2 linked regions of the Drosophila melanogaster genome follow. The protein of the gene in region 2 interacts with the protein of the main gene of each other region in a biochemical or structural test. Each region holds a gene or a part of one and is shown on either strand. Other genes may lie near its edges. The genes, in order: DIP-zeta and dpr13.

Region 1 (5,102 bases), on a different chromosome or scaffold from region 2:
CACGCAGCTTGCGAAACACTTACACAGAGACAAAACTTTTTCCCTTATGACTCGCTTATGAAATTAAGCAATTTTGACTCCACCTCTTCCCCCAAAAACCACGCACACATGATAAAGCTTTTTTGGTATGGACCGAAACAGATTTACCATCAGAAACAAGAACAAGAAGTCCAACAAATTTTATGCACTTTTTTATGAGTTTGGCAAAGTGTTTGTAATTAAATTAATAAATTGTTGAGGGAGAAACTTGTTCCGAATGTGTTTTTCTTGTATTTTTATGCTAGGAAATTAAATTTTAATGGGGCTATTTAGTGTTTGTTTGGTTTTTGCTGTTTTTATAATGATAACTTTTTGGTAAAACAAATTGGCTTATAATTGTTGCGGGATTAAAGGGACTTAACTAAACGGGTGCGTAGATGAAAGAGACAATAACATTTATTTGTTTATGCTGACTAAGTTCATAGCCATTATAATATTTTTTATTGGGTGTTTAAATTTTCTTTTTAAAAGATTCTGTGTAAACGTAAATTAATCCTGACATAGTCATTAGCCCAAAAAAAATGTTCCTAGCTCTCAGGGGATTTCTCCTAAGCTTCTATAAATGCCTGACAGCTTTTAACCTTCATGGTTTTGTGGTAATTGAAGGGAGAAAAGAAAGCAGCACAAAGGAGGCCGAAATTGAATTAAGATATGTTTACCTATGGCCGAATTTATTTACATTAAAAGGTTCTTCAAAGAAGAAGCAAGCTAGAAAGGTTGTGCCTGTTACCTATCACTTATATTTTGGCAGCAAACAATACAAATACATGAAAATAAAATTCCGATTTAATTTGGTTTTATTTAAGGACTTACATCTCTCCCTTATCGAAAATTCGTTAGTTCACGTTACTATTTATTCGGATAATACAAGCTTAACTAGACTCAATTTAACTCTGATTTTATCTGGATAAAGTACTCTATTATATTTTCAGAAGTGCAATATAGAAACTAAATTTACCAAATAAACGCACCAATAAATATGCACTTATGATCAAAGCTCACACATATTTTCGACATCATCATCAGCAGCATCAAAGTTTTGCTATTTTGTTTGTTTTACTCTACACAATTTGTAAAGTTCCTGTAACTGCAAACGTCAAACCGAACTCGAGCAAACAAAACGCAACAAAGCTGAACTCAAAAAAGAATTCAAAAAAGATGGAAATAAATAAAGAACCAATAAGCCCTCTCTTCACTAGCTTTTGAAAAAAGTTCTGAAACAGCTGACATCCATGAGTTTCCCATCCTTCTTCTGCTCTGTGTGTTTACGTGTCTTACTCAAACTGTATCAGCTCCATATTGCCATTGATCTGCAATGATGCCTGAATGCAAAACATACCATTGTACAGTGGATACCCAACAAAATGAATCATTTCACATATGTTATAAATATGAAATAATTTAAATCTTAATTATATATTAAATGGAATTAAAATATTTGGACCATAAGAACCGATATATTGATATTAGTGGTGGATCCATTCTAAGTCTTGGTATATTGAATAAATTATGTAAAGTATTTTTACAACAATTTCTATTAGTTTCCAATGTTGTATACTGTAATTAAATATTTCTCTTTAATATTTTTTTTTTTTAATAAATTGTAACAAAATGCTAAGAAACGTTTACAATGAGCTTTGACAATATTCATACTCAAAGACTTATTCTGCATTTGGAATACAGTTGTGTCCAGTAACACATAGGCCCCACTGTACTCTCTGCGTTGTCTGTCTCTATCTCCTACTCCATTAAGTATGCAAGTTTTCAGCAGTTGGCAGTCGGGTCCTGGCCCTTTTCCCTGCATATCCTGATTCTCATGGATGCAGTGGGTTAATGTATTTTTAAGCTAAATTCTTTGTTTATATTTGCCTTGCTGTTTTCGGTTGTGTTTGTGTGTTGTGCATTGCGTTGCAGTGGCAACAACTGCTGTCCTTTATCAATCGCAACAAATTTCCCCTTCGACTATTTTTTTTGCGAGTTGTCCCAAAGTGAACTCTAGTGGATTCATTTATTCGCATATAAGTTTGTTTGGGAATTTTTCACAGATTGAAGAATGGCGTTGTGTGCGTGTCTGCCAGTTTTCGGGATTTAAGGACTTCGAGGGTCCTGGAGATAGTCTCGCTGTTTGTTTACTTTTTGTTGGCATGAAATGTGCATTAGCAGAGTTAACTGTTAATTGTTTACCCATTTCGAGGGCCTGACAAGTGACATGTGAGTTTGTGGTCTGGATTGTAGCTGTGGTTAACCATTAAATGGAGTTCAGTTATTTGAAATACTCGCACTAAGATAAATCGAAGTCTTTAATTGCATTTGAATGATCTGCAGTCCCAAACATAAACCTTTTACATTATATATTGTAATTAAGATTTTATACATAAATATAATATATAGCGTAACGAAACAAACGCATTAAACCAACTCCTTATTGCATTTTCAATTTTTAACATAGCTTATAATTACTTATCCTAACCGGCACTCGCACTTTTAAAAATTGTTGGAACTTTCGATTTAATATACTTCTGTCACTGATATTTATAAATAATATCTAAAGTTTGTTAAATTTAAAATTCCATATTTTTATAAAGTTTCTATTCTATTCTATGAATTATTAATAAAAAAGACTTTTCCGATGATCAAATTGTTCTTCTGTTTAAGACCTTAATAGTATGAATTGCATGTATTGAAATAATTAATTTACATACTGTAACTACAAGAATATTTTTGTGAATATTTAATTCTGTAGGTTAGTTTTGTGTTACGTATGATATACCAAGTTTTCAACCACTTTTACAAATTGTAATCTTTCAATAAAACGCTTACAAGTTTTGGTATTTTTTTAAATTTTATAATCAAGTGGACCTAAGTTTTTTAGCTCGACTTTTAAGTCATTTCTCAACACGATCACATTGAGTCAGGTGCTTCTAATTTGGCATCGATCACATGACACTTGAGTACGACTTTCCCTTTGCCGGGGATCTTTCAGTGTAACACCGATAAAACGCGTCCGCTTCGTGCAGAATCCGTAGCGAAACTGATTTGCCGACGAAACCTAATGCTCGCACAGAGCCGGGCTCTGGCTTTCCACCAACAACAATAAGGGAAAATCTAACGAATGGGAAGTGCTGTTACGTATACGCCGCGTTGGCCGAGTGATAACAGGCGGGGACGAGCCGACGGCCGACAGAGCGAGCCGAAGTGTAGCTTCGGTTTAAGCCAACCAAAGGACGCTGGATGCTGTTCATTGGTAGTTGTTGCTGCCGGTTGCTGGTTATGTCCGGTATCCTTGTTATGTTCGGAGGCTTGTTGTTTGCGTGCAACCGCAACCACAACAACAGACCGCAAAACACGCGACAAAAATGTTAACAGAGTCCAACCTGCAACACCATGCCCCAAAATCACCTCTCAAAGTTCGAGTTGCATGCCGATTCCGCCGTCGAACCTTTTTGGCTCGTTCCGGCTGAAGCTGTACCCTTTTAATAATAATTGAATTAAGATAAAATGAAAACAAAATCAAAACACATTTTTGCTTTCCGTTGGTTGCTGCATATTGCTATTTGGAGCCAAGTATTTAATTAGACAAGTTAATTAAATTTATTTGCATTTCATTTCAAGTCCATGTGCGTATGTTGAGCGAAAAAAGTGCAATTAATTTGAGATATTCAATTTGCAAGCGTTGCTTATTCGATTTTCGCTGATGCAGGACCATCTAATTGAGGGTGATAATTGCGTTTTATGACTGACTGAGCTAGCAAAGCTGGTTGTCAGTTGGTAGACGGTTAATTAAGAAGTTCTTTTCAAAGTTAACAGTGGTATTTTTGAATGGTTAGACAGATAATATTTTTAGTTACTTATTTTTTGAAGTATTTCATGATGATTTTATCCTATTAAATTAGGTGCACGAAAAAAGTTTTGCTATTTTTTAACTAGACCTTGTTTTAAGGGCACTGTAATCATCTCGACAAGCACTGGTCAGTTGTGCAGAAGGAAAAAAAAACGATGCATATCCGTCTGAAAGTTAGTCTATATATAGACGGATTGTATGCGATATGAGAGTGATGAATTCTCCCTGTTGGCCATACTGAACTATCTTAATGAACTCTTTCAAATCACAGACATCGCTCAATGCCAAAAACATTAAAACTGACAAGGCTAGACGGCAGACAAGATGACTGCTCTGTGACCCTCTCCCTGGGATTCCTCTACACACCACACACCCAAGGAGAAACGTGCACCATCGCTTGGCAAGTTCATTGTGGGGGGAATCCCAGAGGTGATAGGGCGGCGAGTGGGCGTGGTCGACTGTTGCGCCAGGATGTGACCAAAACAGGAAGAGTGGGTGGAGCGGGTGGATTAGGTGATGGCGAATGAGGAGGCGGAGGCGGAAAGGCCACAAAGGTCGTTGCAACACATTCGCTTCGTTGGGTCAAAAGTCAAGCGTTGGACGGGGGATCCCTTTGGATGCCAGCCATTACAACACTTTGTTGGCTGCTTTGTAAAGTTTTTCTCACCATGGAAAAAGTTTTTTTCTCTCTTTCCCAGTCTTTTTGTATTTTTCACGCCTTGTCCGAAAGTTTCCTGTTTTTCCCCTCTACTTGTTTTGCTATTTTTTCCCGCTGCCGCCTTAACAATGAAATTTTTGACTGCTGATTGTTTGCTGTTCAATGTTATTCTTCCAGTTCAATGCGAGTTTAAGTAGACAGAGCTAAACAAAATGGAAAAAAAGTATACAAAACCGGTCGGAAATATTGGACCTCCTTCTCTGGTACTTAGCCAAAGTCTGCAGCAAATTGAAAATGGAAAGTTTGGTTCCTGTTTTCCTGTGTAGATATATTCACAATTTCTTTTGCAGTTTGTCTGCGACTTTGGTTAAGTATGCCCTGCAGTCTAGTCTCTCTGCTAAGGACTGCCCAAATGAGGTAAAATAGTTTGGGGAATACTATCGGCAAAGTTTTGCCCCGGCTTGTCTGGTAAGATTTATATTTGGGATATTTGAGTTTAGGAAACAAAACAATACATGTACGAAAATCCGACCGAGTAATAAAACAAGATTAAAGATGAGAATC
Region 2 (4,893 bases):
ATTGTCTGTGATTTTCTTGTTTTTAGATAATGAAAGCTGCAGCAATCTGCGGCTGCGGGTACATAAAATAAAAGCAAGGCACCCAGCAAGTGTAACTTTTTATGTGCTCAGGCAACAGAAATCGCCGGCCATTTATACGGATACTGGGATACTGGGATACTAGGAAACTGGGCGGCCAGGGAGATTGAGTGTGGGTCAGTGTGCCAGATATCGAGTGGAACGGGGAAGGGCAGGGGAATTAACATACACGACTAGATGTTTGCGGGTCAGGTTTTCATTGCCTGATATATGGTTATGATTTTCCAACGGCAATTTGGCCAGAAGCTGCGACTATTTGTCTTCTTGGGTATTAAATTTGGATGGGCAGCAGAACATCGAACTCATTAAGTGAAATATTAGAGAGGCGTTCGATTTTAATTATTCAAAAGATCGCAAAGAGCTATGTGAAAGGAATTTAATGCATGAAAATTATTTAAAATAAAAATGAACGAGATCTGTATTCTTATTAAACAGTGGTCCATTGCATTTGACTTGACTAATATATCTGAAGCATGAAACTCAGGAATTTAATCTGCAAGACACTTTCCCGCGTTTTAGCTCAGCATTTCCCCGGTTTTCCTTGTTAGCCAAAGAATTCAAGCGGAATGTGACATTGCAGCTGGGCAGATGGCGCCTTCGACGCGAAAATGCTTTCACAGCCTGACAAGGTCTAAAGCGTGTTAGCCATTTATTAGTTCGGATTTCTGGCTAGCCCCAAAGTATGCAACCGACTTCTGCGAGCCCAAACGTGGCCAAAAAAAAAAAACCATGAGCTGGCTGAAATGGAAAGTTAAGTTCGCCCAGCTGAGGGCCCACAACTTGGTACCAACTAATTTCAGCACAATAACCCAAATTGAAGCGGTTTGCTGATGCTTTGTTTGCACCCGATTAGAGCCGAGACGCGTGACGAAGGTGCTTTCGTCACTCGGCGAAATGGCTGCACAAAATGAGAGAGCGATGAAAGCAGGAAGGAGAGAGAGAGTCCAACTATGCGCACAAACAACAAGGAGAAAGATAGAGAGAGGACCGGAAGTAGTGAGTTTGCGATAAATGTTTGCTATAAAAATCGTACCAGCTGTTCACTGAAGATTGACAATCCTAGAAGCTGTTTGAAAACAAATTAAAATTTCAATATATGCACTAAAAAAATTTAGTTTTTTTTGGCATAAAAAAATTTAGTGTCGGTATATGTAAAACTGTTAAGTTGAGCCTTGTTTAGGCAAATTAAGGATACCTAAAAGTTGAATGTGTTGTTAGCCCTAAATCATCTAATCATACACAATTAAATGAAATGGTAATCAAAAATATGGCAAGGATTTAAACCAAATTTAATGATATATGAAACATAATAACCTTTTAGCTTTTACCTCTTTTCTTTAAGTTGATATAATAAGGTTAGCTGCATTAGTTGCAATGTAATATATGTGTTAATAGAACAAGTGCTTAATAACAAAAAAAAAAAACTATAGTATTGATTGCCTTAAACGGAATAGTTGATATAAATTGAAAGGACTGGGTTTCGGTTTCAAAGGACCAATTAAGCAAACATTTCACGCGAACGCAAGATGCTATAAAACTTGAGAGTTTCCCCAAAAGGAAAATGAGAGAGGCAAGTCGAGAGAGAAAGAGAGAGCCAAGCGCACGAAGTTCGTGCAGACTTTTCCGCTGCTGCTGCTGCTGCTGCTGCCACTGCCACTGGTGATGGTGTTGCTACTGGTGTTGCCTGCTTTTCCTTGGGTCCTCGTGTCAGTCGCGTGCGAAAGCGTAAAGTAAACAGACAGGCGGCTAAAGCGGCAGAAGGAAAAGCAGCGAAGCGCTGGAAAAGCAGGAAAAAGCAGCAGCCGTGCAACCGAGGGCCAAACAACAACACCAGCGGCTGGCAGGCGAATTCCCACGCTGCTGCTCAGTCAGTTGAACTTTGACCACGGCGGTAACGGGTTCGGTGCGGTGCAGTGTAGTTTCGGTGCGGTCAACGCGGCGTATGCGCAACGTACATGCAACGTGAGCGCTTTTTTTGCGAAACTATAAATGATGAATTCCAAATGTGCTGGCATATGGCTGCCACGTGCCCCCAGCTAAAATGTGACTAAAGGATTACAAAAAAAAAAAAACGAGCAAGTCAAACAAAAAGCGAAAATGAAACAATGCAAAAAAACGCTTAATTAAAATATGGAAAGTTAATTGCAAATGGCGCTTAGCAATGTGGTCACATCAAATGGGCATAAATCAACGCAGAAAGTGCATTTAATTAGGCTTAATATAAAGAAAACATCAAATAACCGAAAAGTGTGGGCCTAAAAAAATAAACAACAATTAGAGCAGGGGAAAAAACGTTTTAATTAATGCAATGTCATCCAATTGAAATGCAAGTGCAGTGACAAATGAAATCAAATTAAAGCTCTGATAAATTGAATCACAAATGCAAAACAATTGACAGCTACAACAACAAGCGGAAAATAAGTGCAACATCCTCAGCGACACACAGCAACACAAAGCAACAAAATGCCGGCATCAAGTGGATTATATCGCATCAAAAATGGCCGTGTCCTTGACAGGCTGCAAAAACCAGCGGCACTCATTTTTATAATAGCATATATTGCGGCATGCGGCATTTGCGGTAAATATCACACACAGACATTATGACTTTTCACTAAAACTAAAAATCAAATAAAATCCCACATAAAAGCGAGGCGTAGAAATTACAGAAAAATAATGACGCATTTAATACTTTTTCATTTATTTATGCCGTTGATTTTTCAATTTGCATTCCGCTTATTCTGTACTGTTCACCGAACACGATTTAATTCAATTAGCGTCGCTGTAATGCATGAAATATTGTCAAAAGACAAATTGGCGAAATATGAAATTAAATGTGGCAAATATCACGGACGAGCCGCAACAAAGGCCACGAGATTGCCCAAGTCGAGAAATCGTTAATTTGTAACATTTCATTGCCGATGTCGAGTGCAGTGACAGGTCAGGCGATGAGCGCGGAAATCACCTGTGCATCACCTGTCAATGGCTGACACCGCAACAACGGCAATCAGGGGATTCCCCTGCGCCAAACGGCAACAGCAACACTTGTCTCTACAACTGAGCTCACTGAAAGCTGCCCCCTGTCGCCATTTCTCTCCATCTCTTTCGCGCCCTGCATCGCTATCTCTCTCTCTCTCTCTCTCTCTGTGTCTGACTGACTGGCTGACTGGCAATTTGTCAAGCAATCAACAAAGCCAGAAATTGCCCGGCAATAAGACAGAGCGAAAGCGGCAGAACGCCAGTTTGTCCAATCGGGAAAATGTGAATGCGAATAAACCTATTGAACACGCCAAAAGTGGTATAGAATATGCACTGCGATAAAAATATGACACCAGGAACTATCATAATCATCTCTAGTTGCATTAGGTATATTATGTTTCTAAACTATGATTTTTATGCAGGTGTAATCCTTTTGACAATCTCTTTATTCCCTTTTCAAGCTTTACGCATTTTAAACAAAATATCTTTATGAATATTTAAAAATATACATATAATAAATAACATATAGTCAATCGTTATATATAATAATTTAAATTATATTTTTAATATGCAAAAGCTGACTATGTATTCTCAAGAACTATTAGTTCTTAACTTACTTAAATAGTTACAATATACAAAAAATGTGCCTCTTATAATGTTTATAAATTGCTAGTTTATTTGTAAATAATGTTTATTTCTCGAATGCTTGAACGCAACATAAAATTTGGTCTTCAATTTAAGCGATTTTTCTCGCAGTGATTGGTACTCGACTCCAAGGAATACCGATATGTGGAACTAGTACACTGCTTGTGCCACATTTTGTGCGTGCCCCGCGTCGATGGGGGGAGAGGGTGTCCGTAAAGTCGTTGCTAAATAACAACAACAATGGCATAAAAAAGTGCCACGTCTTCACACACATTTGCACGCGCACACACACAGTGGGGCCCTGGGGCAACGCACACACACCGCAGCAACTGCGAGTGCTACTGGCGACTATCTAGCGCATCCATTGTTGCATGCCACACACCAACACAGGCCTTTTGGGCCACACACTCCTGTCGCTGTCGTTGTCGTTGTCACTGTCAATGCTGTAATGAAAAATGCACAAACACAAAAACGAAATACGAAAAAAACAAACAGAATCCAAAACTGCAACTGAAAATAGAAATAAACAGAGGCCGAAATAAATATATTCAGAATGCACGCCAGCTTAGGGCGATGAGTAAAAAAAAATAAAATAGACAAGCAATTTCAGCTGCGCCTGCCGCTTTTTATTTGGACCGCATTAATATTTAGCCAGCCACATGAACGTGCCTAGATATACATTAAGGCTCATATAAATCAATATTTATGCCAGCGGTGCATGTCTGTGGATCGAGCCATGGGATTTTTGAAGGCCAGCGGGGTCGCAGCAAATGCATTACTAGTCGCTGCACCCAAATCCGCAGCTCAATGCATCCAAATATTTGCATAATGTAACCAAAAAATATAAAAAAAAAATATATTTCTCCACTGCACTGCAGGCTATATGCTAAGCAGGGCGACCATGTCACTTTGGGGGCCAAAAATGTGCAGCTACCCATTCCCCATTTGAATGTTTTGGTTGTGAACATCGATATAAACATGGAAAAGATCGAGCGTTGCTAAAAAGCAAAACGACCAAAATATATGTAAATACTCTGTACAAATATTCACTTATTCAATTATTCACAATGCTTAACAAGCGGTTTGTATGACATCCCGTGTTGGTCATCTAAATAAGGTGTATTGATTTTACTTAAATATCTTAATTCCGGATGTCAGACTTGATATTTCATAAGATATATATCATTCACCTTC

What was found.
Region 1: the proteins of dpr13 (region 2) and DIP-zeta form a complex in vitro, tested with the Drosophila melanogaster proteins (one study listed by BioGRID).

What each region holds. Positions count from the first base shown.
Region 1 is NT_033779.5:9,068,091-9,073,192, forward strand, and holds the start of DIP-zeta (Dpr-interacting protein zeta), read right to left. Parts: upstream 3,075-5,102; 5' UTR 2,742-3,074; intron 1-2,741.
Region 2 is NT_033778.4:18,004,797-18,009,689, reverse strand, and holds the start of dpr13 (defective proboscis extension response 13), read left to right. Parts: upstream 1-1,787; 5' UTR 1,788-2,541; coding exon 2,542-2,656; intron 2,657-3,694; exon of another isoform or gene 3,695-4,295; intron 4,296-4,893.